Lepisosteus oculatus: one gene and its partner. The protein of the gene in region 2 binds, or shares a complex with, the protein of the main gene of each other region. Links are inferred from orthologs where the notes say so. Each region holds a gene or a part of one and is shown on either strand. Other genes may lie near its edges.

Evidence for each region.
Region 1: aar2 (region 2) and cd2bp2 share a complex: the UniProt entries of both Homo sapiens proteins name them as parts of the U5 snRNP complex. The link is inferred for Lepisosteus oculatus from reciprocal best matches to the Homo sapiens genes AAR2 and CD2BP2.

The regions. Positions count from the first base shown.
Region 1 is NC_090699.1:1,134,122-1,149,989, forward strand, and holds cd2bp2 (CD2 antigen cytoplasmic tail-binding protein 2), read right to left. Parts: upstream 8,811-15,868; 5' UTR 8,702-8,810; intron 7,954-8,701; 5' UTR 7,953-7,953; coding exon 7,878-7,952; intron 7,519-7,877; coding exon 7,398-7,518; intron 7,316-7,397; coding exon 7,158-7,315; intron 5,672-7,157; coding exon 5,134-5,671; intron 4,808-5,133; coding exon 4,722-4,807; intron 4,157-4,721; coding exon 4,046-4,156; 3' UTR 3,755-4,045; downstream 1-3,754. UniProt on the Homo sapiens protein: Involved in pre-mRNA splicing as component of the U5 snRNP complex that is involved in spliceosome assembly.
Region 2 is NC_090711.1:6,132,239-6,148,539, reverse strand, and holds aar2 (protein AAR2 homolog), read right to left. Parts: upstream 6,802-16,301; 5' UTR 6,710-6,801; exon of another isoform or gene 6,665-6,709; intron 6,122-6,664; exon of another isoform or gene 6,119-6,121; 5' UTR 6,117-6,118; coding exon 5,354-6,116; intron 5,066-5,353; coding exon 4,836-5,065; intron 4,315-4,835; coding exon 4,147-4,314; 3' UTR 3,010-4,146; downstream 1-3,009. Other genes in the region: prpf6 (pre-mRNA-processing factor 6), read right to left, coding at 14,787-14,939, 15,695-15,821, 16,223-16,301. UniProt on the Homo sapiens protein: Component of the U5 snRNP complex that is required for spliceosome assembly and for pre-mRNA splicing.

The DNA of each region.
Region 1 (15,868 bases), on a different chromosome or scaffold from region 2:
GTACAGAGTGACCCAGACCGGACTGGAGGGGTACAGAGTGACCCAGACTGGACCAGTGATCTCTGGACTGGAGGGTTACAGTGTGACCCAGACCGGACTGGAGGGGTACAGAGTGACCCAGACTGGACCAGTGATCTCTGGACTGGAGGGGTACAGAGTGACCCAGACTGGACTGGAGGGGTACAGAGTGACCCAGACTGGACCAGTGATCTCTGGACTGGAGGGGTACAGAGTGACCCAGACTGGACTGGAGGGGTACAGAGTGACCCAGACTGGACCAGTGATCTCTGGACTGGAGGGGTACAGTGTGACCCAGACTGGACCAGTGATCTCTGGACTGGAGGGTTACAGTGTGACCCAGACCGGACTGGAGGGATACAGAGTGACCCAGACTGGACCAGTGATCTCTGGACTGGAGGGGTACAGTGTGACCCAGACCGATCTGGAGGGGTACAGTGTGACCCAGACTGGACCAGTGATCTCTGGACTGGAGGGGGACAGTGTGCCCCAGACTGGACCAGTGATCTCTGGACTGGAAGGGTACAGTGTGACCCAGACTGGACTGGAGGGGTACAGTATGACCCAGACTGGACCAGTGATCTCTGGACTGGAGGGGTACAGTGTGACCCAGACTGGACTGGAGGGGTACAGTGTGACCCAGACTGGACCAGTGATCTCTGGACTGGAGGGGGACAGTGTGCCCCAGACTGGACCAGTGATCTCTGGACTGGAGGGGTACAGTGTGACCCAGACAGATCTGGAGGGGTACAGAGTGACCCAGACTGGACCAGTGATCTCTGGACTGGAGGGGTACAGTGTGACCCAGACTGGACTGGACCAGTGATCTCTGGACTGGAGGGGTACAGTGTGACCCAGACTGGACCAGTGATCTCTGGACTGGAGGGGGACAGTGTGCCCCAGACTGGACTGGAGGGGGACAGTGTGACCCAGACTGGACCAGTGATCTCTGGACTGGAGGGGGACAGTGTGACCCAGACTGGACCAGTGATCTCTGGACTGGAGGGGTACAGTGCGCCCCAGACTGGACTGGAGGGGTACAGTGTGACCCAGACTGGACTGGACCAGTGATCTCTGGACTGGAGGGGGACAGTGTGACCCAGACTGGACTGGAGGAGTACAGAGTGACCCAAACTGGACCAGTGATCTCTGGACTGGAGGGGTACAGTGTGACCCCAGACTGGACTGGAGGAGTACAGAGTGACCCAGACTGGACCAGTGATCTCTGGACTGGAGGGGTACAGTGTGACCCCAGACTGGACTGGAGGAGTACAGAGTGACCCAGACTGGACCAGTGATCTCTGGACTGGAGGGGTACAGAGTGACCCAGACTGGACCAGTGATCTCTGGACTGGAGGGGTACAGTGTGACCCAGACTGGACTGGAGGGGTACAGTGTGACCCCAGACTGGACCAGTGATCTCTGGACCGGAGGGGTACAGTGTGACCCAGACTGGACTGGAGGGGTACAGTGTGACCCAGACTGGACTGGACCAGTGATCTCTGGACTGGAGGGGTACAGAGTGACCCAGACTGGACCAGTGATCTCTGGACTGGAGGGGTACAGTGTGACCCCGACTGGACTGGAGGGGGACAGTGTGACCCAGACTGGACCAGTGATCTCTGGACTGGAGGGGGACAGTGTGACCCAGACTGGACTGGACCAGTGATCTCTGGACTGGAGGGGTACAGAGTGACCCAGACTGGACTGGAGGGGTACAGTGTGACCCCAGACTGGACCAGTGATCTCTGGACTGGAGGGGTACAGTGTGACCCAGACTGGACTGGAGGGGTACAGTGTGACCCAGACTGGACCACTGATCTCTGGACTGGAGGGGTACAGTGTGACCCCGACTGGACTGGAGGGGTACAGAGTGACCCAGACTGGACCAGTGATCTCTGGACTGGAGGGGTACAGTGTGCCCCAGACTGGACTGGACCAGTGATCTCTGGACTGGAGGGGTACAGTGTGACCCCTAACACATGTGCCCAGCTCACTGACTGGCTCATCTATAACTTCACACTCACAGACCCATCAGCAGCAGCGCTTCAAAGGCTCGGTTCGGCCAGAAACAGGCGCGCTGTGCGTGGGCCGGAGACGGGAGCTGTGTGCACTTCTAACCAATCAATCGATCGATCGATACCAAACCAATAAACCGACATACCTCGCTCTCGCGCGGGCTCCGGGTGACGTCAGAGAGCCGCTTCCAGTCCGAACTCCGCTTCCTGACGCGACGCGGCAGCAGGACGGGTCCGGGAGACACCGAACCCGGCAAAATCCCAGCCCGAGTCAGGAGCCCGGGCCCACCCGTGGGTGTACTGGGACCCTGCCCACGGACACGCGCACCGGGTCGGGTCGGGTCCGGTCGGGGTCCGAACCCTAGATGCGCGAGCGCCTCTCCACGGCTTTTCGGGCTGCGCCCATCTTCTGCAGAGACACAACACTCGCTTCCTCTCCCAGACTGTTCCAAAGCGTGATTCCCCCCGCGAGTAACAACACGAACCTGCGCGCCGCGACGCTGTTCCCCTGTTTGTCCACCAACCCGTAAACAGACCAGCACCGCCGTCGCCGCCACTACGCCGCCTCTCACGCACAACCTAACCCAGCCTCCGGCCCCGCTGCTGGCCAATCACCTCTCGCTCTCGTCCGCCAGCGCCCGCCCCTCTGCTCTGGCGGAGAGCCCAGCCAATGAGAAGCAGTAGGGCAGCAACGGCCTAGCCAATGGGAGCCGTTTCCTTCAGAAGGCAGGCCAATGGGAGCTGAGCAAATGGAGCTGGGCTTTCATCCTCGCAGAAACTTGGAAAGTCTACCAATCGGCGCACTAGGACGTGAAGCGCTGCCCAATCAGAAGTACGCAAACTTCGAGAGGGCGGGATCTGATTGTTTCTGTTGAGGCGGGACTTGGACGTTGAAGGGGTCATTGGCCGCAGCCGTGCGGCGCAGCAGTGACGCAGTTTGTGCGACACTGACTTCTTACGGACAGCGGTGTTTGTGTCCGCAGGCTGGAGCTTCACCGTTCGCTCTTCAAGGAGCCGCCCTCGCTCGATCGGGGCTGGTTTCGCAGAGACTGAGATTTGTCAATTCAAAAGGAGAAATTGTTCAATTATCATACAGATAGAGACACACTGTCCTGAACTCTGCCGGACTGGTCAGTGTCCGTAAAGACACACTGTACTGGACTGGTCGCTCTCCGTACAGACACACTGTGGTGGACTGGTCACTGCGTACAGACACACTGTGGTGGACTGGTCACTGCGTGCAGACACACTGTACTGGACTGGTCGGTGTCCGTACAGAGACACTGTGGTGGACTGGTCAGTGTGTGTACAGACACACTAGACAGAGCTCTGCTGGACTGGTCAGTGTCCGTACAGACACACTGTGGTGGACTGGTCACTGCGTACAGACACACTGTACTGGACTGGTTACTGCATACAGACACACTGTGCTGGACTGGTCAGTGTCCATACAGAGACACTGGACTGGAGTGGTCACTCTGTACAGACACACTGTGGTGGACTGGTCACTGCGTACAGACACACTGTGGTGGACTGGTCAGTGTGTGTACAGACACACTAGACAGAGCTCTGCTGGACTGGTCAGTGTCCATACAGAGACACTGGACTGGAGTGGTCACTCTGTACAGACACACTGAGCTTGAAATACAAATCACATATACACTATAAATAAAAAAAATACAAAGTAAAAAATACACAAAAATGAACATAACTGCATGTTTAAATCTAAAGTCATCCTCTTTCCTTTATTACAAACTGAGCAGAACTGTACAGATACAGAACATCACCATGGAGAACAGCTGTATGTCAGCTGTCGATGTGCACAAGAGTGTGTCAGTGCATGGGACTGTGTGTGTAATAGTGTGTGTGGAGGAGTATTTATGAGTGTATCAGTATATGTGCGTTTAAGAGTGTATGTGTGTGTAGGAGCATATGTGTGTAAGAATATTTGTGTATCATTGTATGTGTGTAAGAATATTCCTGGTTCTGTGAGTGTGTAGTTGCAGATGTCAGGTATAGAGCTCGAAGTCCAGTCTCCTAGAGTTGTAGAACTGTGCACTGGGATGTCCAATTCGCCGGCAATAAACTCCTTCTTTAAAATAGCCCTGATCAACCCAGTCCTGAGAGAGAGAGAGATCAGGGTTACATTACACACAGGACATTAACACTGCACTGAGAGAGAGAGGGGTTAATACAGACACACTGACTGGACACTCCAGTACATTAACACTGCACTGAGAGAGAGAGGGGTTAATACAGACACACTGACTGGACACACTCCAGTACATTAACACTGCACTGAGAGAGAGAGGGGTTAATACAGACACACTGACTGGACACTCCAGTACATTAACACTGCACTGAGAGAGAGGGGTTAATACAGACACACTGACTGGACATACTCCAGTACATTAACACTGCACTGAGAGAGAGAGAGGGGTTAATACAGACACACTGACTGGACACTCCAGTACATTAACACTGCACTGAGAGAGAGAGGGGTTAATACACACACACTGACTGGACACTCCAGTACATTAACACTGCACTGAGAGAGAGAGGGGTTCATACACACACACTGACTGGACACTCCAGTACATTAACACTGCACTGAGAGAGAGAGGGGTTCATACACACACACTGACTGGACACTCCAGTACATTAACACTGCACTGATATATTAACCTGCATCTGCTGGCTGCTGAAAGGCCCGTACAGCTCTGAGTTCTCCTTGTTCTCCCACTTGTACTCCCACATGACCTCCTGGCTCACTGAGAGAGAAACACAGAGAGGAAACTCTGAACAGTCAGAACACGTGGGGTCAGGTGCACGTGCAGTACTTCGTGACCAGTGAAATAGGTTCAAACACACACACACACACTCACACAAGTATGCACACACTCCCTCACACTCACACTCACAGATGCACTATCGCACAAACTCACTCAGACACACACTCACTCAAACACATACACTAAGTCTCAGAGACACACACTCAGACACACTTTTACACACTTACCTAGATACACTCACAGAGACACATTCACACACACACTCATGCACACTCTCGCACACACACACACTCTCTCTCTCCCACCTGTCTCTCTCTCCTCCTCCTCCTTCCTCTTCTCCCCTTCAGTCCCGTCAATCTTGTCAGCGAACATGTCCAGCTGCTCGTCCTCCTCGTCTTCCTCGCCCCGCCCGCCGCCCGCCGGGGCTTTGACCTTCGACCTGTAGGCCAGGCTCTCGTAGGTCTGCTGGTAGATCTCGAAGTCGCCGCCGCCCACCAGCCTGTCGGCCAGCGCGGTGAGCCGGTCAAGCGCCGGGGCGTCCCGGCCGCCCGCCCCCAGCCCGCCCAGCCTGCGCAGCGCCCTGGCCACCGTCTCCCCCGGCAGCAGCAGCTCCACCACGGCCTGCGTCAGCTGCTGGCGGCTGAGGGAGGCCAGGGGGTCGGGCGGGGCGTCGGCGCTGGTGTCTGGGGCGCCCCCGCCCTCGCCCTCGCCTCCGCCCCCGCCCTCCCCGGCCCGCTGCTCCCTCTCCAGCTCCTCCTGCGCCTCGTCCTCGTCGCCCGCTCTGCGCCGGCGCTTGGCCGACAGCCCCCGGCGGCGCTGTGGGGGACGCTCTCGGATCTTCACCTGGCAGGAGGGACAGGGGCAGGGGCAGGGACAGGGGGAGGGGGACGGGGGACAGGGACAGGGGGAGAGGGACAGGGGGAGAGGGAGAGGGAGAGGGGGACAGGGACAGGGACAGGGACAGGGTCATTGACGCCATTCCAGATTCTCTCTCGTGTACGTACGGTGTACTAGAGGAGTTTCACCCTCATTGGAATACAAGCCCACTCCTTCACCTGCAGAAGACCCCGCCCCTGAACGCCCACACGAGACCCCGCCCATCACGCCCACACGAGACCCCGCCCCTCACACCCACACGAGACCCCGCCCCTCACACCCACACGAGACCCCGCCCCTCACGCCCACACGAGACCCCGCCCCTCACGCCCACACCTACAGACCCCGCCCCTCACACCCACACCTACCGAGCCCGTCCCTCCGCCCCCTCTCACCTGCAGAAGACACACACTCACACCAGAAGACGCACCCCCCAGTACCACCCAGGTCCAGTGTGACCTGGTCTACAGTCTGACCTGCTATAATCCAGTTTTAAGATCTGGCCCAGTTGTGGTGTGACCCAGTGCTATAGTCTGGCCTGGTTCCAGTGTGACCCAGTGCTACGGCCTGGCCCAGCTGTGGTGTGACCCAGTGCTACGGCCTGGCCTGGTTCCAGTGTGACCCAGTGCTATAGTCTGGCCTGGTTCCAGTGTGACCCAGTGCTACTGCCTGGCCCAGCTGTGGTGTGACCCAGTGCTACGGCCTGGCCCGGTTGTGGTGTGACCCAGTGCTATAGTCTGGCCTGGTTCCAGTGTGACCCAGTGCTACTGCCTGGCCCAGCTGTGGTGTGACCCAGTGCTACGGCCTGGCCTGGTTCCAGTGTGACCCAGTGCTATAGTCTGGCCTGGTTCCAGTGTGACCCAGTGCTACTGCCTGGCCCAGCTGTGGTGTGACCCAGTGCTACGGCCTGGCCCAGTTGTGGTGTGACCCAGTGCTATAGTCTGGCCTGGTTCCAGTGTGACCCAGTGCTACGGCCTGGCCCAGCTGTGGTGTGACCCAGTGCTACGGCCTGGCCTGGTTCCAGTGTGACCCAGTGCTATAGTCTGGCCTGGTTCCAGTGTGACCCAGTGCTACTGCCTGGCCCAGCTGTGGTGTGACCCAGTGCTACGGCCTGGCCCGGTTGTGGTGTGACCCAGTGCTATAGTCTGGCCTGGTTCCAGTGTGACCCAGTGCTACTGCCTGGCCCAGCTGTGGTGTGACCCAGTGCTACGGCCTGGCCTGGTTCCAGTGTGACCCAGTGCTATAGTCTGGCCTGGTTCCAGTGTGACCCAGTGCTACTGCCTGGCCCAGCTGTGGTGTGACCCAGTGCTACGGCCTGGCCCAGTTGTGGTGTGACCCAGTGCTATAGTCTGGCCTGGTTCCAGTGTGACCCAGTGCTACGGCCTGGCCCGGTTGTGGTGTGACCCAGTGCTACGGTCTGGCCCGGCTGTGGTGTGACCAGCTCCAGTCTCACCCAGTCGATGTTGTCCAGCCAGTTGTCTCGAATCTGCTGCTCCTTGTTGAGGAAGTAGTTTCCCTCCGAATCAAAGTGTCCCTCCTGCATTTCCTCTTCCAGGTTAAAGGGCGTGATGCGCACCCCCTCGTCAAAGTCCAGGGTCGCCGATTCCTGGCCTGCACAGGGGAGACAGCGGGGGAGTGAGAGAGCAGACAGAGTGAGCCGCACTCACACGGCGACGACAGAGTGAGACAGTACCCTCCACATCGTCACTGGCCAGCATGTCATACTTCTGTCCCTCTTCCTCTTCCTCCTCATCACTGTCCAGGGAATGTTTACCCTTGAACCTGGAGCCAGGGCCACTGACATTGTCACACACCTGCAGCAGGGAGAGAGAGAATCACACACACTGTTACACCCGCAGAAAGAGAGACAAAAACTGTCACACACCCGCAGAAAGAGAGAGACACACAGTTACACACCCGCGCAGAGAGAGAGACACACAGTCACACACCCGCAGAGAGAGAGAGACACACAGACACACACCCGCAGAGAGAGAGAGACACACAGTCACACACCCGCAGAGAGAGACAAACACACAGACACACACCCGCAGAGAGAGCGAGAAACTGTCACACTCAGTACTGTGTTCACATACAGTCTCATACCCTCCAGACAGGGTCTCTACTCAGGACTGTATTAACCATATGGTATTTCTGCTGAGAAAGAGTACTGAACCTTCTTATTTGGAGGGTCATTCTCCAGACTGTACTCTCCATTCTCATCCTCAAACATCACCCTGCGCTTCGACATCCTGAGGGAGACAGAGGAATAAGGCAGAGAGGGGTTAATACAGACACACTGACTGGACACTCCAGTACATTAACACTGCACTGAGAGAGAGAGGGGTTCATACACACACACTGACTGGACACTCCAGTACATTAACACTGCACTGAGAGAGAGAGGGGTTAATACAGACACACTTACTGGACACTCCAGTACATGAACACTGCACTGAGAGAGAGAGGGGTTAATACACACACACTGACTGGACACTCCAGTACATTAACACTGCACTGAGAGAGAGGGGTTAATACACACACACTGACTGGACACTCCAGTACATTAACACTGCACTGAGAGAGAGGGGTTCATACAGACACACTGACTGGACACTCCAGTACATTAACACTGCACTGAGAGAGAGAGGGGTTCATACAGACACACTGACTGGACACTCCAGTACATTAACACTGCACTGGGAGAGAAAGAGGGGTTAATACAGACGCACTGACTGATTTAACGATTCAATAACATGATTAACCACAGAATAACAATCTGAATGTAATCCCAACAGACAAGTGTACTTTGAAGTGACAGTAGGTCTCTTTAATTTCTGAATCTCTCCAGTATTTACTGGAGATGATCACACAGCTCCAACAGTATTACTATCCAGAGTTACTTTCACAGCACCAAACAGAAAAAAACATGAGGACAGACCCAATGAGAATTCCGTACGATTGTGCTTATCATTAGTACTGATATGTAATATTATTTACCTTTATTTTACAGCTGTGCTCACGACGTGAATTATTACAGCGCCACAATGCGCAAACAAGAGGAAGTGACGTAGATAAACAGCGCCGCCGAGGGAGGAAGTAACCTCCTTCCTTTGAGAAGAACGGGAACAGTCGCAGATTATTGACGTCATGTCGATCCGGCCGTGCCAGACCTTTGTAAAAGATATATCTAATAAGTATAATTTTTAGTTTTTACAACTGTGGATTCCTCTGGCTTTGAAGTGTCTATTTCTGTATATATTTCATTATTCTGTCTCATTTTTTGTATTTCTGGTGTTTAAATAAAATATTTTAAAATATTTTACAAACATATGTCAAACTCACAAAATTTAGCTCTTATCATAACAGTGACGTTTTCGCCTCAGACTCGAGGCACGACGCGGCCCGCTCAAGAGAGATTACCAGTAACCCCAGTAAAAAAGACTCATTGGTGCTCATCGATCTGGGAAAAGATACAGATCTTACAGCATCGTGTCTGAGCCCCGATCCACAGTCTTTTTTGTATTTAAACAACAAAAGGAAATACAGTATAAACAAGAGTTCGTAAAACATATCGATAACATCGTTTAAACAGAGTAAATAGAGATAAGGTCCGCACCGCTTTCATGTTTTCACATTTCGAAACAGTCTACAAATACGCCCTCACATCTATGTTCAGACACAGGACTCTTCCTGAGTAGAATAACGTCCCGGTATAATAATCGTCAATTACAAAATATATTTTCGTTTAGTTCCAATGGGATTGAAGTTCAACATCACGTCTGTTTCCTTAAATATGATTAATATTCGCCTCTTTTTTATATAAGTTTGCAAATCAGTCCAGAAGGTTTTTACAATAGAGAGATTAGACGAGATGAGTTATTGATCCCGAAGGGAAACTGAGGCGTTACAGCAGCCCAGCCCAAGACGAGCAAGAACAGACATCGGACTAGACGGAAAATTAAAACAAGTACAGCAATACAAAATCAAATAAATAGAGTAAGCAAAATATGCTCATAGTCACTGTCAAACAATAAAAGATGTGCAAAATGTGCATGGGTATATGCCGGGAGGAAGGACCTGCGGAAACGTTCCCTTGAACACCGCAGCTGGAGCAGTGTGTCACTCAAAGTGCTCCGCTGCCTCATCACAGTCATAGCCACGAGCAAACAGGACAGAACCAAAATACATTTCTGGCTTCTGCCTTCCCATTCCCACAATCCTGCTGAGGAGAGAAGAGAGAAAACACAGCGTTTCGGCTGCAGGGTCTTCTCCAGGTGTGTCCTGAAGAGTGTGTCCTGCACTCCCAGGGAAGACTCCACAACCTGACTGTACCCCTGACTGTACCTCCAACTGTACCCCAGTCTGTACCCCTGACTATACCCCAGTCTGTACCCCACACTGTACCCCAGACTGTACCCCAGACTGTACCCCTGACTGTACCTCAGACTGTACCCCAGTCTGTACCCCTGACTGTACCTCAGACTGTATTCCAGACTGTACCCCACACTGAACCTCAGTCTGTACCCCTGACTGTACCTCAGACTGTACCCCAGTCTGTACCCCAGACTGTACCCCAGACTGCACTGCTTCATTACAGACTATAACTCAGACTGAACCCCAGACTGTACCCCAGATTGTACCACTGACTGCTCGAAGGAAGGCGTTGTATTGGGGCGGGATGGTGTGGTGGCTCTGGAGCTCAAGATCTGTGCCTGTGGCTGGGGGTTACTGGTTCGAATCCTGCGGCCGCAGAGGAATCCTACTCCATTGGGCCCGTGAGCCAGGGCCTGACCCCCAGCTGCTCTCCCTGTGTGTGTGTGTGTGTCTCCTGGAGGGCAGGCTGGGATCTGTGACAAGACAGACTCCTCACACGAGAGACTGTAGATGGCCCCCTGACTGTACAGTGTCCCTCAATTCTAATATTAACAATAATAATACAGTGTGTGATTTCCTGTCACAGCCTGAGGAACAGACAGTGAGCCTGTCTCTCAATAATAATAATACAGTGTGTGATCTCCTGTCCCAGCCTGTGGAACAGTGAGCCTGTCTCTCAATAATAATAATAATACAGTGTGTGATCTCCTGTCCCAGCCTGAGGAACAGACAGTGAGCCTGTCTCTCAATAATAATAATACAGCGTGTGATCTCCTGTCCCTGCCCGAGGAACAGACAGTGAGCCTGTCTCTCAATAATAATAATACAGTGTGTGATCTCCTGTCCCAGCCTGAGGAACAGACAGTGAGCCTGTCTCTCAATAATAATAATACAGTGTGTGATCTCCTGTCCCAGCCTGAGGAACAGACAGTGAGCCTGTCTCTCAGTAATAATAATACAGTGTGTGATCTCCTGTCCCAGCCTGAGGAACAGACAGTGAGCCCGTCTCTCAATAATAATAATACAGTGTGTGATCTCCTGTCCCAGCCTGAGGAACAGACAGTGAGCCTGTCTCTCAATAATAATAACACAGTGTGTGATCTCCTGTCCCAGCCTGAGGAACAGACAGTGAGCCTGTCTCTCAATAATAATAATACAGCGTGTGATCTCCTGTCCCTGCCCGAAGAACAGACAGTGAGCCTGTCTCTCAGTAATAATAATACAGTGTGTGATCTCCTGTCCCAGCCTGAGGAACAGACAGTGAGCCTGTCTCTCAATAATAATACAGTGTGTGATCTCCTGTCCCAGCCTGAGTAACAGACAGTGAGCCTGTCTCTCAATAATAATAATACAGTGTGTGATCTCCTGTCCCAGCCTGAGGAACAGACAGTGAGCCCGTCTCTCAGTAATAATAATACAGTGTGTGATCTCCTGTCCCAGCCTGAGGAACAGACAGTGAGCCTGTCTCTCAATAATAATACAGTGTGTGATCTCCTGTCCCAGCCTGAGTAACAGACAGTGAGCCTGTCTCTCAATAATAATACAGTGTGTGATCTCCTGTCCCAGCCTGAGGAACAGACAGTGAGCCCGTCTCTCAATAATAATAATACAGTGTGTGATCTCCTGTCCCAGCCTGAGGAACAGACAGTGAGCCCGTCTCTCAATAATAATAATACAGTGTGTGATCTCCTGTCCCAGCCTGAGGAACAGACAGTGAGCCTGTCGTGTGATCTCCTGTCCCAGCCTGAGGAACAGACAGTGAGCCTGTCTCTCAATAATAATAATACAGTGTGTGATCTCCTGTCCCAGCCTGAGGAACAGACAGTGAGCCTGTCTCTCAATAATAATAATACAGTGTGTGATCTCCTGTCCCAGCCTGAGGAACAGACAGTGAGCCCGTCTCTCAGTAATAATAATACAGTGTGTGATCTCCTGTCCCAGCCTGAGGAACAGACAGTGAGCCTGTCTCTCAATAATAATACAGTGTGTGATCTCCTGTCCCAGCCTGAGGAACAGACAGTGAGCCTGTCTCTCAATAATAATAATACAGTGTGTGATCTCCTGTCCCAGCCTGAGGAACAGACAGTGAGCCTGTCTCTCAATAATAATAATACAGTGTGTGATCTCCTGTCCCAGCCTGAGGAACAGACAGTGAGCCTGTCTCTCAATAATAATAACACAGTGTGTGATCTCCTGTCCCAGCCTGAGGAACAGACAGTGAGCCTGTCTCTCAATAATAATAACACAGTGTGTGATCTCCTGTCCCAGCCTGAGGAACAGACAGTGAGCCCGTCTCTCAGTAATAATAATACAGTGTGTGATCTCCTGTCCCAGCCTGAGGAACAGACAGTGAGCCTGTCTCTCAATAATAATAATACAGTGTGTGATCTCCTGTCCCAGCCTGAGGAACAGACAGTGAGCCTGTCTCTCAGTAATAATAATACAGTGTGTGATCTCCTGTCCCAGCCTGAGGAACAGACAGTGAGCCCGTCTCTCAATAATAATAATACAGTGTGTGATCTCCTGTCCCAGCCTGAGGAACAGACAGTGAGCCTGTCTCTCAATAATAATAACACAGTGTGTGATCTCCTGTCCCAGCCTGAGGAACAGACAGTGAGCCTGTCTCTCAATAATAATAATACAGCGTGTGATCTCCTGTCCCTGCCCGAAGAACAGACAGTGAGCCTGTCTCTCAGTAATAATAATACAGTGTGTGATCTCCTGTCCCAGCCTGAGGAACAGACAGTGAGCCTGTCTCTCAATAATAATACAGTGTGTGATCTCCTGTCCCAGCCTGAGTAACAGACAGTGAGCCTGTCTCTCAATAATAATAATACAGTGTGTGATCTCCTGTCCCAGCCTGAGGAACAGACAGTGAGCCCGTCTCTCAGTAATAATAATACAGTGTGTGATCTCCTGTCCCAGCCTGAGGAACAGACAGTGAGCCTGTCTCTCAATAATAATACAGTGTGTGATCTCCTGTCCCAGCCTGAGTAACAGACAGTGAGCCTGTCTCTCAATAATAATACAGTGTGTGATCTCCTGTCCCAGCCTGAGGAACAGACAGTGAGCCCGTCTCTCAATAATAATAATACAGTGTGTGATCTCCTGTCCCAGCCTGAGGAACAGACAGTGAGCCTGTCGTGTGATCTCCTGTCCCAGCCTGAGGAACAGACAGTGAGCCTGTCTCTCAATAATAATAATACAGTGTGTGATCTCCTGTCCCAGCCTGAGGAACAGACAGTGAGCCTGTCTCTCAATAATAATAATACAGTGTGTGATCTCCTGTCCCAGCCTGAGGAACAGACAGTGAGCCCGTCTCTCAGTAATAATAATACAGTGTGTGATCTCCTGTCCCAGCCTGAGGAACAGACAGTGAGCCTGTCTCTCAATAATAATACAGTGTGTGATCTCCTGTCCCAGCCTGAGGAACAGACAGTGAGCCTGTCTCTCAATAATAATAATACAGTGTGTGATCTCCTGTCCCAGCCTGAGGAACAGACAGTGAGCCCGTCTCTCAGTAATAATAATACAGTGTGTGATCTCCTGTCCCAGCCTGAGTAACAGACAGTGAGCCTGTCTCTCAATAATAATAATACAGTGTGTGATCTCCTGTCCCAGCCTGAGGAACAGACAGTGAGCCCGTCTCTCAATAATAATAATACAGTGTGTGATCTCCTGTCCCAGCCTGAGGAACAGACAGTGAGCCGTCTCTCAATAATAATAATACAGTGTGTGATCTCCTGTCCCAGCCTGAGGAACAGACAGTGAGCCCGTCTCTCAATAATAATAATACAGTGTGTGATCTCCTGTCCCAGCCTGAGGAACAGACAGTGAGCCCGTCTCTCAATAATAATAACACAGTGTGTGATCTCCTGTCCCAGCCTGAGGAACAGACAGTGAGCCTGTCTCTCAATAATAATAATACAGTGTGTGATCTCCTGTCCCAGCCTGAGGAGCAGACAATGAGCCTGTCTCTCAATAATAATAATACAGTGTGTGATTTCCTGTCCCAGCCTGAGGAACAGACAGTGAGCCTGTCTCTCAATAATAATAATACAGTGTGTGATCTCCTGTCCCAGCCTGAGGAACAGACAGTGAGCCTGTCTCTCAATAATAATAATACAGTGTGTGATCTCCTGTCCCAGCCTGAGGAACAGACAGTGAGCCTGTCTCTCAATAATAATAACACAGTGTGTGATCTCCTGTCCCAGCCTGAGGAACAGACAGTGAGCCTGTCTCTCAATAATAATAACACAGTGTGTGATCTCCTGTCCCAGCCTGAGGAACAGACAGTGAGCCTGTCTCTCAATAATAATAATACAGTGTGTGATCTCCTGTCCCAGCCTGAGGAACAGACAGTGAGCCCGTCTCTCAGTAATAATAATACAGTGTGTGATCTCCTGTCGCAGCCTGAGGAACAGACAGTGAGCCTGTCTCTCAATAATAATACAGTGTGTGATCTCCTGTCCCAGCCTGAGGAACAGACAGTGAGCCTGTCTCTCAATAATAATAATACAGTGTGTGATCTCCTGTCCCAGCCTGAGGAACAGACAGTGAGCCCGTCTCTCAGTAATAATAATACAGTGTGTGATCTCCTGTCCTAGCCTGAGGAACAGACAGTGAGCCTGTCTCTCAATAATAATACAGTGTGTGATCTCCTGTCCCAGCCTGAGTAACAGACAGTGAGCCTGTCTCTCAATAATAATAATACAGTGTGTGATCTCCTGTCCCAGCCTGAGGAACAGACAGTGAGCCCGTCTCTCAATAATAATAATACAGTGTGTGATCTCCTGTCCCAGCCTGAGGAACAGACAGTGAGCCGTCTCTCAATAATAATAATACAGTGTGTGATCTCCTGTCCCAGCCTGAGGAACAGACAGTGAGCCCGTCTCTCAATAATAATAATACAGTGTGTGATCTCCTGTCCCAGCCTGAGGAACAGACAGTGAGCCCGTCTCTCAATAATAATAACACAGTGTGTGATCTCCTGTCCCAGCCTGAGGAACAGACAGTGAGCCTGTCTCTCAATAATAATAATACAGTGTGTGATCTCCTGTCCCAGCCTGAGGAGCAGACAATGAGCCTGTCTCTCAATAATAATAATACAGTGTGTGATTTCCTGTCCCAGCCTGAGGAACAGACAGTGAGCCTGTCTCTCAATAATAATAATACAGTGTGTGATCTCCTGTCCCAGCCTGAGGAACAGACAGTGAGCCTGTCTCTCAATAATAATAATACAGTGTGTGATCTCCTGTCCCAGCCTGAGGAACAGACAGTGAGCCCGTCTCTCAATAATAATAATACAGTGTGTGATCTCCTGTCCCAGCCTGAGGAACAGACAGTGAGCCTGTCTCTCAATAATAATAACACAGTGTGTGATCTCCTGTCCCAGCCTGAGGAACAGACAGTGAGCCTGTCTCTCAATAATAATAACACAGTGTGTGATCTCCTGTCCCAGCCTGAGGAGCACGCAGCCTGTCTCTCAGTAGTGTTGTGTCATGTAGCCGACAGTTTTTTAAATGTTGACTCACTTTTGCTGCTTTGGCGGCACTGTGACTCAGCCGTCATGCCAATAAAGCTCTGTGAGTTTGAAAGTGGTTGAGAAACGGGGAAGTGCGGCGGCCGGGAGGGAAGGCGCTCAGACTCGACCCGCAGGCGTGTTGCTGCTCCGCCGCCGGCGCTGCAGGTGAGCCGACAGGCGCCGCTCGCACGCGCGGAGCCGCACCTGGAAGTGACGCGCAGGTGTGACGCGCAGGTGTGCCGCCGCTGCCCCACCCCGCGCAGGTA
Region 2 (16,301 bases):
TACTTTTAAAATCTTTTCCAATTCTTTTTTAAGGCTATGTTTATGGGACAATCTCCGATCTACTACAAAAAGGACACAGTGAGGGAGAAAGCGCTGGAAGTTCACTCTCTACAGACTGTGTTGCCAAAGCAAGTAGATGCAATGTGCCGAGAGTTTAGCCTGACAAGTCTAAGGATACGTTTGCTGATTTCATTTTGCTTACCCAACGCATTTGCAATATGAAAAGTTTTCCCTTTTCATGGATCTTAGATTGCTTTAATTCTGCAAAACCAATTAAAACAATTTGTAACAACATTCAAGTTCCTTTTCAAACTGATCTGTCATCTGTAACAACCAGTGCAAGCTTGATTTCCTTGTAATTATTTCAGATAAATTTCACTTAACAATATTGTCCTTTGTAAAAAAAAAACATGGAAGTAATTAGCCTGTTATTCCATCCAAAGTTATCGTAACCTCATGTGCTCGAATGGCATTACCTTTCAGAGCACTTGAAGGCCACACAAGGGCCTTATTTTGTCCACTTTTTTGAACACATTAGAAAGGCAATTTCAGCCCATGTCTTATGAATGCTGGGATTTTAATGACAGTGCTTTGCAAGCCTGGGAGATTTTAAAATGTTTACAGAACTGACAAATCTCCTCAGCCGATCAAGTGTACAAGTTTCAGATCATGCCGTGTACAAACCTGGTCACCGTTCTGCTCGTCTATGGCACTAATTGGAAGCAGCAGGAGGCAGCAAAAGCTTATTCGCACATAAAGTACCCTGCTTTCAAAGTACCCAGGGCTTAAACTGAAGGTTGCACTTTGGCTCCATAATAGCCAAAAACATAGCAGATCTGTTCAACCTATACCAGTACTACAAAGCAAAACAAATTTCTATTTACCTCATTCTGAGCTCCTCAGTGGCTCACCTTGTAAACAGGCCTGTTCCAAGTACAGCTTGAGCACTACAGTGCAGACATCGCCACTTTGTGATGGGGGCTATGTCACCAGCCAGTCAAAACTGGGACTCTTCTGGCGGCGGCACATCACTGAGCAAGTACCACCAGGGCAAGGTGGGACTGAATTGTCCAGGGTACCTTGGCTTGCCACGAAGAGCAGATCTGTACCCAGCTCAACAGTGTTGTCAGTGAGGGCCAAGGGGTGACTCCAGACAACAGTGCCAGGCTTACTGTGGGACTCTGTCTGCAGGAGAGCATGCTTGGTCAACACTGTCACTGTCCCAGTACAAGATACATAGCAGCAAGCGAAATTCTGTAACAAGTGGGCATCCAAACAAGAAAGGGTTGCACAAAGATAAGAGGTAGCTTATTTTACAAAAGAGGGAAGTTTATTTTTATTTATTTTTAAAAATAGAAAAACAGGCTAAAACCAGAAATAAAAAAAGGGAAATGGGCAAAAAAACAAAACAAGTGCTTCTATCAGATCACTTTTCTTCCTGTGTTTTCACACCAATAGCTTAAACCTTGCAGCTGACATCCAAGTGTTTATTCTAAGACCAAAGAGTCCATTGAGAGGAAGTTAAAGCCCTGGGCATCAATGCAAGACTCCTGCAGGGTCCAGACTTTATTAGGATCTCTGACTCCACTCCAAGCAATTAATCAATTAAATCTATAGTGAAAGATTCATACACACTTTGCATGCTAATTACCATTAACTGACTTACTGGCAACTTTAACATTAAAAAACATGGTATTCCACAGAACATGCACTTATTACAATGTCAGACAGGAAAAAGTCTTGTAAAAGCTGCAATTTGAAATTGAAAAGGGTGCAGTCATAAATATTTTTTCCTCATTTTAGAAATAAGACATGATTTTTTTATGGCACATTTTGGTAAGCATGTCTCACTTCTCAGTAAGTTTAAATAAAATATTTTTAAGAGACTGAAAGAATGCAGCTGGAGAAATTAGGTTATCCAATCATGTCATTAAACCAAGATCTATTTTCCAGAGAGGAATGTCTGTGATGTTAACTTGCTAGACAAGCATCAGGTCTGTTCCTGCAAAATGAATACCACTGCACCTCAGAAAAATGCCCTGTTTTATTTCAGCTTTCTAAAAGGGAAGTTCAGTAGAACTGACTTTTCACTTTCTAAGAATAAAACAGCAGGGCGTCTTCACTCTCCAACAAGTGACTTGAAAACCTTGGTTTCAAGTGCCATTGTAAAGCCTTAATGTCAGGCCAGGCCATTGAGAAAGTATTATAAAACACTGACAAGTACAATAAATCATTCCAAAGCAATGTAAGGACTTAAAGTACAAAAACACTAAAAAAACAGAGTAACTACAGAAAATAAATTGTCGTGTCTCTTATTTTAACACCAAATATTCCCTTAGTACATAAAATGTTATATCAGATTGCAAACTATGACCTTATAAACCCAAACTGTACCTTTTTGGTTTTTATTTAGTTAACAAGTTAACATCTAATTTTCTGTAGGACGTGCATTTTAATAAAAAAATGTGCAATTCACTGTTTTCATATGAGCCTTTTTGGTTTTATTGTTTACTCGTGTCGTGAACAACGTTTCAGTAACAACGGCAATGCTGAGTTAAGGTCGCCATCTAGTGGAGAATGTTAAAACGACAATAGCTCACAATACCCGACTGGAAACGCTGTAAAAATGCAGGAGGGTCAAGATGGCGAGCATGCCTGGGTTACCCCCCTACTCTTTTCGAGAAACCCCCTGGGCTGTAGCTGTAATTTTAAGAACACAAGCAATCAAGTTATTCTATTCCAATCACGTTATTCTTAATCTAAGGTCCATTAATTGTATTACAAAGGACTTCAGACACAAATGAATTGTTCAACCAGTACCTCAGCTCTTGAATAGACATTAGTTAATTGATTTGAAGTGTAATTAAGCTCTACCGTCAAAGACACACTGTATCCTTAAGTATAGCAAGGAAAACAAAGCTACAAAGCATGATGAAGTGTAACCTGATGACCAAGACAGGAAAATGAAACTTGAATAAGTGAGACAGAAGTAACCAATCACAAATTCCATTAAGATGATAAAATATTTTATTAAAGGGAACATTCCTGATCATGTCTTTACAATCTGCAACAATAGGGGGCAAAAAATAGAATTTCTTCCTTTTCATTTCGTGCGAGTTGCGTAAGTAAGAGGTATTGGGCAAGTGCATGGCTTTGTAAGGTGTATGGCAGCTGGTATTGTAGATAAAACCTACAGAAGTATCATGACATTATTCCTTGAACAGCACTCCATGCAAACTTACGGTTTGCTCAAGCAGACATTTTCTCCACATTCCCATGTCTTGATTCTGAGATATAAGCAGAAATCATTTTTTTGTGTTGAGCACAAATCACTGAGACAACAGTTACAATCCTTCTGATGCAAAATATAATATGAGTAAGAAAAGGGGTTAAGTGCTTTGGAAATGCTTGCTGTTAGTTGGGACTACCATTGGAAAAGTAAAAACTAGATTAAAATGTTAGATCATATCAATCTTATTCTTCTTCAGGGTATATGGCTGTTTACATCATTTTATACTTAAATATTACAATAAGCAGTAATCTGAAATCTACCTACAATTGTATCACTCATGAAGTAGAGAAAATAAAATAAACTTATTAAATTGAACAAAAGAGAGATATTTTCCAGTATCAAAAGATGAGTTTAATGTCTTCCTGTGATCTGTATTTTCTAGAGACCATGTCAACGTTAAGTCTTCAGACTTTCATTCAATTTTTAATTTCATTCACACCCCAAATACCACAGTAGTTGCAGAAACTTCAAAATCATGAGAAGTCTTTACGTTTTGTAGTCACATATGTGAAACAAAACAGAGCACCGAACAGCTTCCAAAATCCAATCAGGAAATGAAAAACCTGTCTCCTTGTCAAGAAGTGATACAGATGGTTATCTTCAGAGATCTGCTCAGAGTGCTGTCCATCTGTGTGCCACAGAGCAAAATGTTATTAAAAAAACATCTACAAAATTCCCAACAAGCCCACACTTTTCTTTTTGGAAACCAGACTTCTCTATTCCACTACAGGTCTCTGTTACAAGCACAGTTGATCAATCCCAAAAAAAATCCAGTGCCGTCAGGAATCCATAACTCACCGATATGCCCAACATCCTGGCTCGACTCTCTTGTTGGGCTGTCCCAGACGGTAGCCTTATTCTGGAGCCACTCCTTCTGGCAGCTCTACAACCACAGGGGCACATTCCTCGGGGTCTATCTCAAAATCCCACCGGAACTTCTTGGTCAGGTAGACTTTGAACTTTTCAGCCCGTTTCCGAAGACCACTGTCCACACCAGGCCCACTCGTGAACAAAAAGAACTCCTGGGCAAGAGTAAAATCAGAGATCAGTGCAGAACATGCAGATGGGCCACATGACCACCTCTCGTTTATTACCACCCTCGTATTCTCCTGGCTGGTGTTATAACCACCCTCGTATTCTCCTGGCTGGTGTACGGCAAAAAACAAAAGAAGAACATGATTTTGTTTTAAATGAAAAACGTCTGACTAAGCTTCTTTCTGTACTCTTCCCTAGCTACTCTTTTATGTATAACTCTCAGATACTGTGAGTCCCCAGATAAACTGGTAGATCAAACACGATCTCAATTTTCAACAGAAAAAAAAAACTCGGAAGAGAAGACAACTTACCATGGTAAAACTTGGGGTGACAAACAGCTTAGATAATGAAAATCTATAAGAGCCCCGATTATGGCCTAAATGAAGCGCTAGATCACGCAGGACTTTAACCCTTCTTTTACTATTCATATTCTGGATTTGGAGTCTTCCTACGCTGCACAGCACTGAGGCAGCAAGACCAGCTTTGTGAAGAGAACCAAACAACCTACCTGCAAGGTGGAAGTGAGAAAGTTGTCTTTGGATACGATGTCTACAAAGAAATCGGGGGGAATCTCTCCCAGCTGGTGGTAGAGAACAGGGATGAGGTGGAGGTACAGGTTCCGGTGGTTGAGTATAGCCTCTTCAGAGCGGCATAGCAGGTTCAGAAGACATTTCCAGTGCTCAAAGCTCTCATACACATTCCCAATCAGGAAACACACAAATGCAAACTGCAACTCCCCTGGACAGCAAAACAGAAAAAAAAAAAAAAGAGAGAAGGAGGAGAGGAAAGGTCATTTACTTACAAACTGCATCAAAAGCAAAAGCTTATTGGAATCCTGAAAACTGAAGTTTGTTAGAATTACACTGAAATGAATGGCATTCAACTACACAGGCTAGTAGTCATCTCCTGATTTACTGTATGTGTTCAGAAAATAAAAAAGGCTGGCATTTTATAGCATCAATCAATGCAAGGAACTGTAAAGGCTTTGAATTGTGTCAGAGTGTGTTTTTTCAGTCCAGAACTCACCCAGCACTTGCAGTGGCTCGTCTTTGTAGTAGCGTTCTAGTAAGCTGTTGAGGGCATAACTGAGGTCCATACTGTACTGGGTGATTTGGGCAGGTGTGGCCCCCTCAGGGTAGGTCTGTTTGGGGATCTCTGAGAAGCGCAGCTCTGTGCCGGCTCTCAGCTTCATCTTAGGCAGCCTGTCCAAACCCTCCTGCATGCTCTGGCACTGGATGTCGTACCGTGGGAGGTTCTGCTGGACCCGATCTTCCGTGTGAGGCAACGACAGTTCCGGTACCACATCGCTGAAGGCACAGATCTTGCCATTCAGGGGCTGCAGGCGTTGTGCAACCTCCTGGGTGACGCGGTCCGTCAGGGAGACCCACTTCCGAAGCATGTCGTAGGGGTACGGTCCCAGAAAGCGGTCCAGATCGCGCAGCCCAGCCCGCACCCGGGCCACTTCCTCCTCGTTCTGGGAGGCGGAGAAGTCCAGGTCCTCTTGCTGGCTGTCCCAGTGAGCCAGCAGGACGTCTCGGGCTTTGAGAGAGAGGAAGACCCCAGTCCGAGGCCCAGTCTCCCCTCCTTGCTCCGGCTTGTTGGAAGCGCTGTAGTGCAGGAAGTGCAGGCCCGGTGGGATCATCTTGACCCCTCGGAACCTGGGACCCACCTGCCAGGTCTTGTAATCGATCCCCAGCTCCGACCCCTCGGGCACCCCCAACAAAACCAGTGTGGCCCCCTCCTCAAACAGACTGCAGGCCAGTTCAGGATCCATGTCCATGCTGGCCATATCTACTAGAAAGAGCACAAAACTGACAATTAAACACTTACATGGACCACAGCAAGACATCAAATAAAATAACCTAGGAGCTAAGGTTTTAATAAAGCAAAACATTGTGACATTTCTGAAACAAAAGGACCTAGGTATGGCTCCTCCATAATACTCGACAAGGCTTCTGCAACTACAATTCGCACCTAAAATAGTCAACTTATCTACAATGGAAAAAAAAACGACAATTCACTTTTAAATTAAGTCGTTCTTGTGGCTCCAGACAGCGTGAGAATGAAATGTCAAGATCAGTTTACCCGGTATTTTACATTAAAAAGTGCTAAGAATGATCTATACTATCAGTCACAATCACTAACCCCAACTTAGAAAAACAAAGATGTTTTCCCATAGTCGTATAATTCCTTTAGCACAAAGATGCAAGTATAAAATTACGAAAAAAAAACTGTGTTGAAACGTTTCGTTTTAAAAAAATCTTTCTAATTAACTGCGACTTCAACAATACGATTTCTTGGCACTGTACCGTAATTTTCTAGCCAGCAAAACGTTACCTTTGAGGGCCTAATATATATTTAGTCAATATATAATGAAGTCACCTGAACGATCACGGAGCGTAGCTCTGTAGCATAGCAGACAAAACTCCACGTTCCTGAACGTAAACGCGTAGCAACGTATTGTGTACCAGAGAGCTCACTTCCGGTCCTTTTTTGTTAAGGAACCAAAAACCAATTAGAAAAAAGGTTCCGATTATACAATATAAACATTTTAAGAATCTCCATAGAAAATTAATCCTTAATAGGTATTGGCCTCATTATGGAGCAGGTATGGCACCATTGGAAAAACTTCCCTATAGAAATCTGTAAAAAAAAAACATAATAAAGTAAAATTACGATATTTAAACAATCTGATATAAAAACAATATGTATTTTAGTCTTTAAAATAATAGTAATATTATTCTCGGGGGGAAAATACTAACACAAAAGAACTTAGGGCAATAGTAGATGCCTCAATGCAGGGATAAAAAAAACATTCCACAGCTCTTGAGGAGTTATTTGTTAAATTGGACCAATTTACAAACTTCTCCCTGCTCTTCAAATTCCGGCTCTCTAATTAGACATATAAAACCTATGTTCAGACTGGCCAACCAGGACTAGGTTTAGTCCACTGTGCTATAATTCAAAATGACTACACACCTATAGGGCCAAGCTGAATTCAATTGTTGTTCTAATCTTTATTTTAGCATGTAATATTAACTACCTTGAAATAATATTCAGTGAATTGAGGTGTTTTTAATCTAAATCCACAGTGTATTACAAGACATGAAATAAAATCACAAAGCTAATCAAATAAAGTAGGATTAAAATACTTCATATACAGTAAATGTAATAACAATAATTCATAGGAAGAAAAGACATGGTTTATTTAAACCGATCTATAAACTGCAGTCTTGTGCACGTCATGAAACAGATGAAAGATGGCCATCATTGAAGTTTTGAACACAGAAACATCCAAATATACAACAACATGCATTTTCTGTTTTCTTTTATTGACCTCACTCTATTTGCACCTTAGTCACAAACTATCTTATAAAGGTTATACAATCTTTTACAATATCCATTTAAATCAAGCTTCTAACTCTCAAGCATATGATAGCATTGCATTTCAATAAAAGCACCAAATGGAGAGCTCGAATCTTTTCCCTTCATTGACCTCAAAGTACTGAAGAAAGAGCTGCACGCGTGACGTCACCATGGGAACGGCACCATCTTGGATACCAACTGAACGTCAACACCTTGAAGGTCATTCTGTTAATCAGCTAACTTGACTCATAACAACCCTATAGTCATATAAACATTTTCTTCAGCTAATATATTTTTGGATGGATCTTGGAGACAAAATCAATACCCACAATAGAACATACAGGCAATATAGTATGTAAATACAGTACAAAGGACCAGCTATACAGGCAATATAGTATGTAAATACAGTACATGTTAACAATATAACTTTACGTTAGCCATACAGATTAAACAGCATTTTTAAATGTCTACAATAATAAATGCATTATAGCTTAAAAAGATCTTCTTAGACCATATTAATAACAAGATATGCTATTTTATAGCATCATTTATGACACCATGCTGATATTGTAAGACAGGCACATCTCAGAATTAATTAGAATATTGTGATGGTGAACAACATCAACTAAAAACAAAGAATCTATCTCTTGGAAAACATATAATTACAAACATAAATAAAAAAATAATATTCTTGTTCTTATAACTAGCATAGGTTTAGGTTAAGGGGATACATGTTAATAAATAGTACAACCTACTAAACAAAAAAATAAAACAGAAGTTGAAAAGTCTTTTATATTTTAATTTTTAAATGATTAAATGAAAAATGATGCATTTAATACATCTAACTCTCAAAGTCCCAGTATCTATACAGCATACTGTATGTGAGTATGGTACATTTCTATGAATATGTAAGTGTCTTTCCAAATATTTCTTCTTAAAGTATTTATAAAAGCTCTCACATTAGGTGTGGCAAAAGCTTATATTTTGTACAGTTTTTGACTGTAACTGCTAAAATCTTTATTGATTATTTACAAATCCCTTAACAGTTCTTTCCTTTAGTGTGTATTCCTCCTAGTTTATGTCTTTCTTTTTGGTTTTGGAGAATACATGATTTGTAACTTCTTCCAACACAATATTAAGGCCTCGATAATCTTCTTTTTCTTTTTTTTCCTTCTTTTCCCTCCTAAACCTTTACTATTTGTGCATACTGGGTCACCTTCTGATCTTCTTATCTGAAAAACAAAATACCAAAGCATATATTCCTTGTTAACCTCTTGGAGAAAAAAATCATTTCTTTTGAAGCATCACCAGGTGAGAATTTGTGTTGTGTACATGCGCTATTCAAAACTGTGGAAGCACAGCGAACAATGATGTTGGGGAAAAGGAGAATATTGTTCTCTCTTTTTCACTACAGTCCCTAGATTCACTTCTATCTTCACATCCCTGAGCAGAAATTCATTATCACAGACTTTTGTTCCTTCTGAAATCACCAGCAGTTTCAGAACCTACTGTACATGAGGATTAAAATCTCCAAATTGATTCCTTAATCAATAAGAATAAGCCTTAAGTGAGTTACTTAAATTCTTTTCCTGAAGTCTGTTGATGATTAAAATAAACTTATAAGTCTGTTGATGATTATAATAAACTCATAATATCTGCTGGACTTAAGCCCTCTTCTAAAGTGTTATATCACAGTAACTTACCAGGTCAGCATAATTGCAGTTTTGTTTAATAACCATTTCCATTCTTTTCACAGGGTTACCTAGGTTATTTGATCCTTTACCTTTGACTTGACATTTAAAAAACTGTGTCATATTGTAGATAGACTGCAGGATATGGTGTACCTAAAATAATCAAAATAAAATTTCAGGGTTTGAAACAAAGCACTGGCAGAGCAATTAGTTGAATTCAGATATTAAGCTAGAAGGCTATTTAGCAGATAATTCAGACTTTGCATCCTATTCCAAGACATGCTTCCTCGTAAGTGTCCAAAAGCATAATGAAAAAAAAACTTCCCTTTTAATTAACTTCATGTTTCTCTAAACCTATAGAGTATCATATTTACAAAAGATTTACAGCCCAATCATCAATCTTCAAATGAAAAGTACTCAGTTCCAGCACAAATTATACTCTGCTGTATCATCATGCACTGTTGCCTAGCCATGAAAAAACTGATTATGGGGTGGCAGTATACAACTTACTGCTTGAAAATCGTGAAATTGTTCTCCACGTTTTCTCTTATAATTTCTCCTCTGACTATCAGAAATCCCCATGCTTAGCTCAATGAGTAACTTGATGGACTAGTTTTTTTTGAGAACTCCTAGTGGTTTGACTGACATAAGACCAACACCTTTCACAATTCCCTTGACCCCAATGGCACTGAAACACGAAAAAAATAAATCTGCCGTGTGCTGTCCTTGGTGCTGAATACCTCTCTTGTAAGGGAGAATGGTATTGAACTGTTTTCTTTCTGACCTGCCTCCTGATCTGAATAAAGGTTTTTGTTACAGAATCAATGCATTTTATGTGACAATATGCTTAGAAATTAAAACTTACTGACTTTTCCTGACAATTGTTCAACAACGGGCTTACTGTGGCTTCATAGAACATTGTTCTACTTGTCATGGTGCATGCAAAACAGGACTAGGATGTGACATCTTGGAAAAGGAATTAAAAACTGAGTTATATTGCTCAGAATACTGTCTTCTATTGTTCTTATACTCTACGGATAGAAACCGGTGCCCTACAGAAATAATTATGTTCACTCATGTATTTTAAGATAGTGTATACAGCCTCCCTTGGGAATTCTGAGATTTATTTTTTTCTGTATTCTTTGTTTTCCTCCTGTTCTAAAAAATATACGAGAATATTACATACTGTAACTATAACGATATGCATTAATTAACTTTAATAGAGTACTAGGTACTGCAAATACACAATAGACCAGTCTAGATTCTGTTGTTTACATTTTAATTAAATAGATTTGTTAATTGTTTTTCTAAGATAACAATACAGTTAGCGTAAGTCATGTAACTTCCTACAGTTGTCAGTCTAATAGAATTTGGAATTTAATTTGAGTTACGATTGATAGCAGTAGTGTATTATGAATCTTTACAAATCTCCATTCACAAATTATACTCTTGATTTTAAGTCATGCAAGAAAGGCAAAACATACAACTGAGCTTTGTCCGAGTAATCACTATCATCCATGCTCTCAGCATGAACGAAGGTGATTTAGATTTTGTCTAGTGTATATATACATTTAAAGATCCTTGGAGTTTTACATACTATACCAGAATACCAGACACATACAGTATACATGTATACTGTACAGGACATACACACATCAGGTAAAGTACACACAAGTTACATTAGTGGAACTAAAATGGCTAAACTCTAAATCATACCTTTCCAGAGGGGCAATGGTCTCTTAAATTTTTATTTTCACTTGATGTGTCATAAGGACCTGTGAGGTTCTAAAAAAGAAGAATATTGATCAGTCCACAACAGCAATTAATTTAGGTTGAATCGCTACAAGATCTCCCAAACCACAAGAGGGCAGTAACTCACTGACTCTGACAATGTTTCGCATTGAGAAAGGCTGTTGCCTTTTAGTATTTTAAAATAACTCCCGTAAAAGTCAGGCAAATAACATCATGAATGCACAGACAACATACCCACATACAGTATAAATCCAACACACACTCAAACATATATAAAGATGAAGTTAAATAGTATCATCACCCGAAGAGGGACTTCTGTCCACAATGACGTGTACCTACAGTATATTCTGTAAAATTATTTTAACCATTAAACCTTGTAGTTGGACACTACACGAAAGCTTTTTTGATTTATTGAGCTCCTCATTTTGCAATAGTTCCTGTTTCATTACAAACACATACATAACAAGTACATACCAGGCTTTGGAGTTCTGTGAGGATTAGTTCTTTGTAAGCGATGAGGATCTCTTGATAGTTGCACCTCTGTCTACTGTTTGAGATGTCCGAAAACAATACCGTTACCACTAAAATACAAATCAGAGTCCTGGAGACACACTAAAAAAGAGAAATAAGATTAACAAACTCAACTGTCTCTTCTCTTATTACTATTGAAACTTCTTACAGCCGTAAAGAAGCGTTTTGTCCGAGCTTGTGAACGTCTGGCTTAATGAACAGCTGTCTTCGACAGTGTGTTTGGAAATATTCATATTAAGTATATATATATATTCATTAAGCAGTGGCAAAGAGCTATCCAGTAGTCAAGTCAAACTATGAAACCTTAAACGGGGAAAACGTACTTCAAAAAGCATTTGTGGGAATTACTGTACTTTTGAACTGGTACTCATTCACTGGGTTCCAGAATGCAATATTACAAACCCGTGACTAATGTGAACACCTTTAAACCCGTTTATCTATATCCGTTTACCGAGTTCGTGTCACAAACCGCATTAGACCCTAATCACTCACACACACGACACAGATATGCGCAGTTCGATAAAGAAGCGTTGTCAAAAGCGATCTCTTACCTACCATTTATCATTGTCTACTGGATGATCCTCAGATTTTTGAAACCCATTTGTCAGGCAACCACAGCAACAGAAGTTTCTCATGGTCAAACTGCGATTGCATCTACCGCGTTTCAGACATGCACTCCCTTTATTCCTCGACGGTCCCCGAAATGCAGTTTTGGGCGACGCTCGGAAATATCACTGAGTTTATTCTTACTTAAATTCTTTAAAATTAAAGTCGGCGTGTCTCTGGCCGGACGTGCAATGAAGTGGACTTTGTGCCATGGCATGCAACTGAATTCAACCCCTAAGCTCAAATTTCGTACCCCGTCATTTACTGTTGGTGGTGGGCTTCTCTTTTCACGTAAATCTAGTCTGATCAAGTCTTGAAAACTTCCGCGATCAATCACCATGCTTTCAGTTTCGTTAAACAAGAAAAACAAATCGTGTTAACATTAAATTTTTGTCTGTAGAGTAACGAGATAGCAGGTACCATGGCTGTAACGATACCTAGTTAAACTGCCCCTTATTTGACACAATGGAGAAGAGACCAGCTGATCGCTTTTCGTGTGCCGCAGGTCGTTTCCACACTTTTGATATGGGTAAAACTGCTGGTTCAGTTCACGTTTTCACACATTTAACCCTATTACACCCACAGCATTAGGCACTCTTAAATATCATTATCTTTAAAACATAAATCTCCAAGTTACCATAGCAATGTTAGGTAGGGGGTATTGTATGTTACGCACTCCAAATACATTAATTGAATTCGTCAATACGTGTTTTTTTTTTAGATTATACAAATTGTACGATTCCTAGACATTTACACCGCACGAAAGGATTTCCTGCGATTTTCTTTTCAAGAAAGAAAATTGGTGGTTTGACTTGAGTTTCCCGGGACAAGTGCTTTGCACCTAAAGGAGCAGCTTCACAGAACGCAGAATCAAGTTATCCGTTTAAAAAACTGCAAACGTCTTTGGTTTGTAACCAATTTATAAAATGTGACAATAAATGCGAACGGCAAAACAAGGTCTTTTGTTTCATTCTTATGTGTCAGCATGTGAAAAGACAGATTATTTCAGGATGATATTACAGATGATATTCTGTTTGACAAGGGACATATAATTGTAGCTTTGTCGAATGCCTCATCAATAAGCCCAGATGCTGTTCCTTGCCGTTTATTTCTACTATGGTATGTGTTTTTCACAAAAAATAAAAGCCAACCACACAAAGGAAATCCCCGAGAAGCAATCATACAGTTGCATCAACGTCGAGGGAATAGTGAGTGATCCATGTTTATTCTGCCAAGATTACTTGCGGCTTTGCGTCTCTGGAACGGTTTTCAATTTAGATTGATACATTTTTTCAGGCTTTATTTCATCCGCCTCAATTCTTTTGCTAACGTATAAATTACCTACTTGCCGGAACCCCTAATATTTAACAGATATCAACTAACAGGTTCTTAATTTACACATAGATATAGGTCTGCTGGCAGTGATTTAATTTGTATCCCAAAGAGTGAAGTAAAAGAAAACTTTATTATACTGTATTGAGACTGCGGAATTCATAGCCATGCCCTATTTAAAATCCCTTTTACAAAATTGCTTTTAAAACCAGACTTTTCACACTCGTTCTCATTCATATCAATGTTAGCTTGGTCATTTTAGCTCGCGTTATTTACCCTTTTTTCCATTTGAAATATATTTGTAAGGGGCTGAGTCTGAAAGGTGTTATAATAATAATGTTATTTATTGTGTAAAGAATATTACTTTAAAACCCAAACAAACAACAAGATTATTTTTTATTTTATCTCCAAATTTGTATCCACAATATTTTGTAGGGACAAAATATTATGACACAATTATGTAGGGACATTTGTTAATAGTAGTTTTATTAATCCATTTTCCTTTAATTAAAAAGATTAATGGAAAAATAACTTACAAGTAAAGGTCAGCTTCATACATTTACAGTTACCATTCAGTTTTCTCCCTTTTCAACAAAGTAAGCAAGTCAGGACACTTTTACATACAGTAGGAGGCAGTTACAATTACTGCCAAGCTCACTGTTGACCAAAAATATATCACTCAAAGGCTTCCCGAGGTAAATGCATTGTCGCACTACATAGGATACAGTCACAGTTTAAAATAAATCCAGCACTTTCAAACTGTAGTCTATGTCCCAGATCCAAAATAAAACAGAAAAAGAAATAAAATCTGTATATAAACCCCAAAGGTCGCACAATATTTACAAAGAGGAATTATTACATAAATATATTTTGTCAGGCCAAAAGATGCTTCAGTTCAGCGACACTAGATAGGACATCAATCCTTTGCTGAAGAAAAAACCAGGGGAGGTCGAAGGGTGATAAGTAGGAAACAGCACTTATAGTAATCATTCCTTAAAAGACAAAACAATACAACTTTTCACTTTTTTTATAGATGCATTTGTTGTTTTTTTAAAAAAACACACAGTGTGCAGTTTACATTTGCATGACAGGAAACGGATTTTCAGAGTTTGGGCATGCTCCGTTTGCTACACCTATGGGAAAGCATTCGGTTCTATATAAACAGAGTCGGTGCGCGCGATTTAAAAGGTGTTTTTGATCTTTGCAGCTACAAGGACCAGAATCTCCCCGATCTTCTTCTGCCAGTTGTGAATGTGCTTGGACTCGGCGCACCACAGCTCTCCGTGTCGCGGCTCGGCGTTCTCGCACCGCCTCTTGACTTCCTCCTGCTGCTCCTGGTGATCACAGAGAGACGAGACATTGTGCTTCCAGATCTTCATCGGGAAACACCAAAGACACCCCACAAGAAGGAGACGGACGCTGACAGTTGCTATGGGCTTACTGGAGCCTCTCATAATATCGTACTCACAAGGATAATCAGATTATGATGCAGGAAGGGGCCTCCTGTGTGACACAACTAGTAAAGTCGCCTGCCGGAGAGGGCGTTCAGCTCTATGATCACGGGTCCGAGCCCAGGTAATGTCACTAGTCCACTGTGACCGGGATTCTGCAAGCACTGGTGCACAACACACTGAACCGGAGTGTGGGGTGGGATTAGTCAAGACAGAGCTCCATTGGCTTTCAGCAAGCCCTGTGGCCTAGTGGGTGCCTGCAGGCATGCAGCACTGTCACTGAACATGGCTCTGCCCCAGTCAATGCTGAATCTTCGCTGGTGCCTTTATTAAAAACTGACTGGCTCAAACGTAGGCAGGACAGAAGCGTATATATACTTCCTTGCTCTCCACTGCATGCCGTCACAGCATTTGGAATTGTGAGCTGAGACACTATGAAAATTAGCTGGGTAAAACAAAAACAACTTGCAATTCTGAATTTTAAATAAATAGTTGGGGCGGGGGTGGGGGGGGATATGTCACATTTCTAAAGTGTGCCACAATATAAAGACATACTGCTGTTTGATGATGACTGTGTGTTTTTATCTGCTTGGGTGAAACACGTTCCTCTTGAAGATGGATTACATGTTAGCCCTTACCTCTGTTCCATGTTGGATTTCGAACTTATAGAACAGAGCCCAGGCATCCCCTAGGTCAGGCTCGATTTTCACGGTCCTGAGGAACCACTCGCGGGCCTTGGTTATTTTCCTTTCACTCCAGAACAACCTACAACAGCAAAAAAAAAAGATATGCACTTTAGCTTCCTGGGAATTGTGTTTTTTTACATTTTTGTACTTCTTCTTTCAAGATCAATGCCTGGTAAGCTAAAGTCATATGCACAGCATAAATGTAGTTAGGTATTCTTTAACAGCCACAAAAGAAAACAGCCATTAAACAGCTTTAGAATTAAGACCTCTTTATTCCAGTGAATAACTTTAGTTTTTTTTCCACCTGTTGTTACAAACAAATCGGATCTTTCATGGTTATGCCTACTATGTAACTAGAGAGGTGTAGAAGTTGTAGATTTTAATGATCAGATCTACCCACCGTGTTAAACCGACATTCCTTACAGATACCTGAATTGACATAAAATAAGGTTTGCAAATAATCTCAAGGCTGTAACGTACTTGGCTACTGCAAGCAGAACGTGAGGATCATGTTCGCACTTCTTCAAGGCATCCACACTCTTGGTCTTTCTTTGAGGTC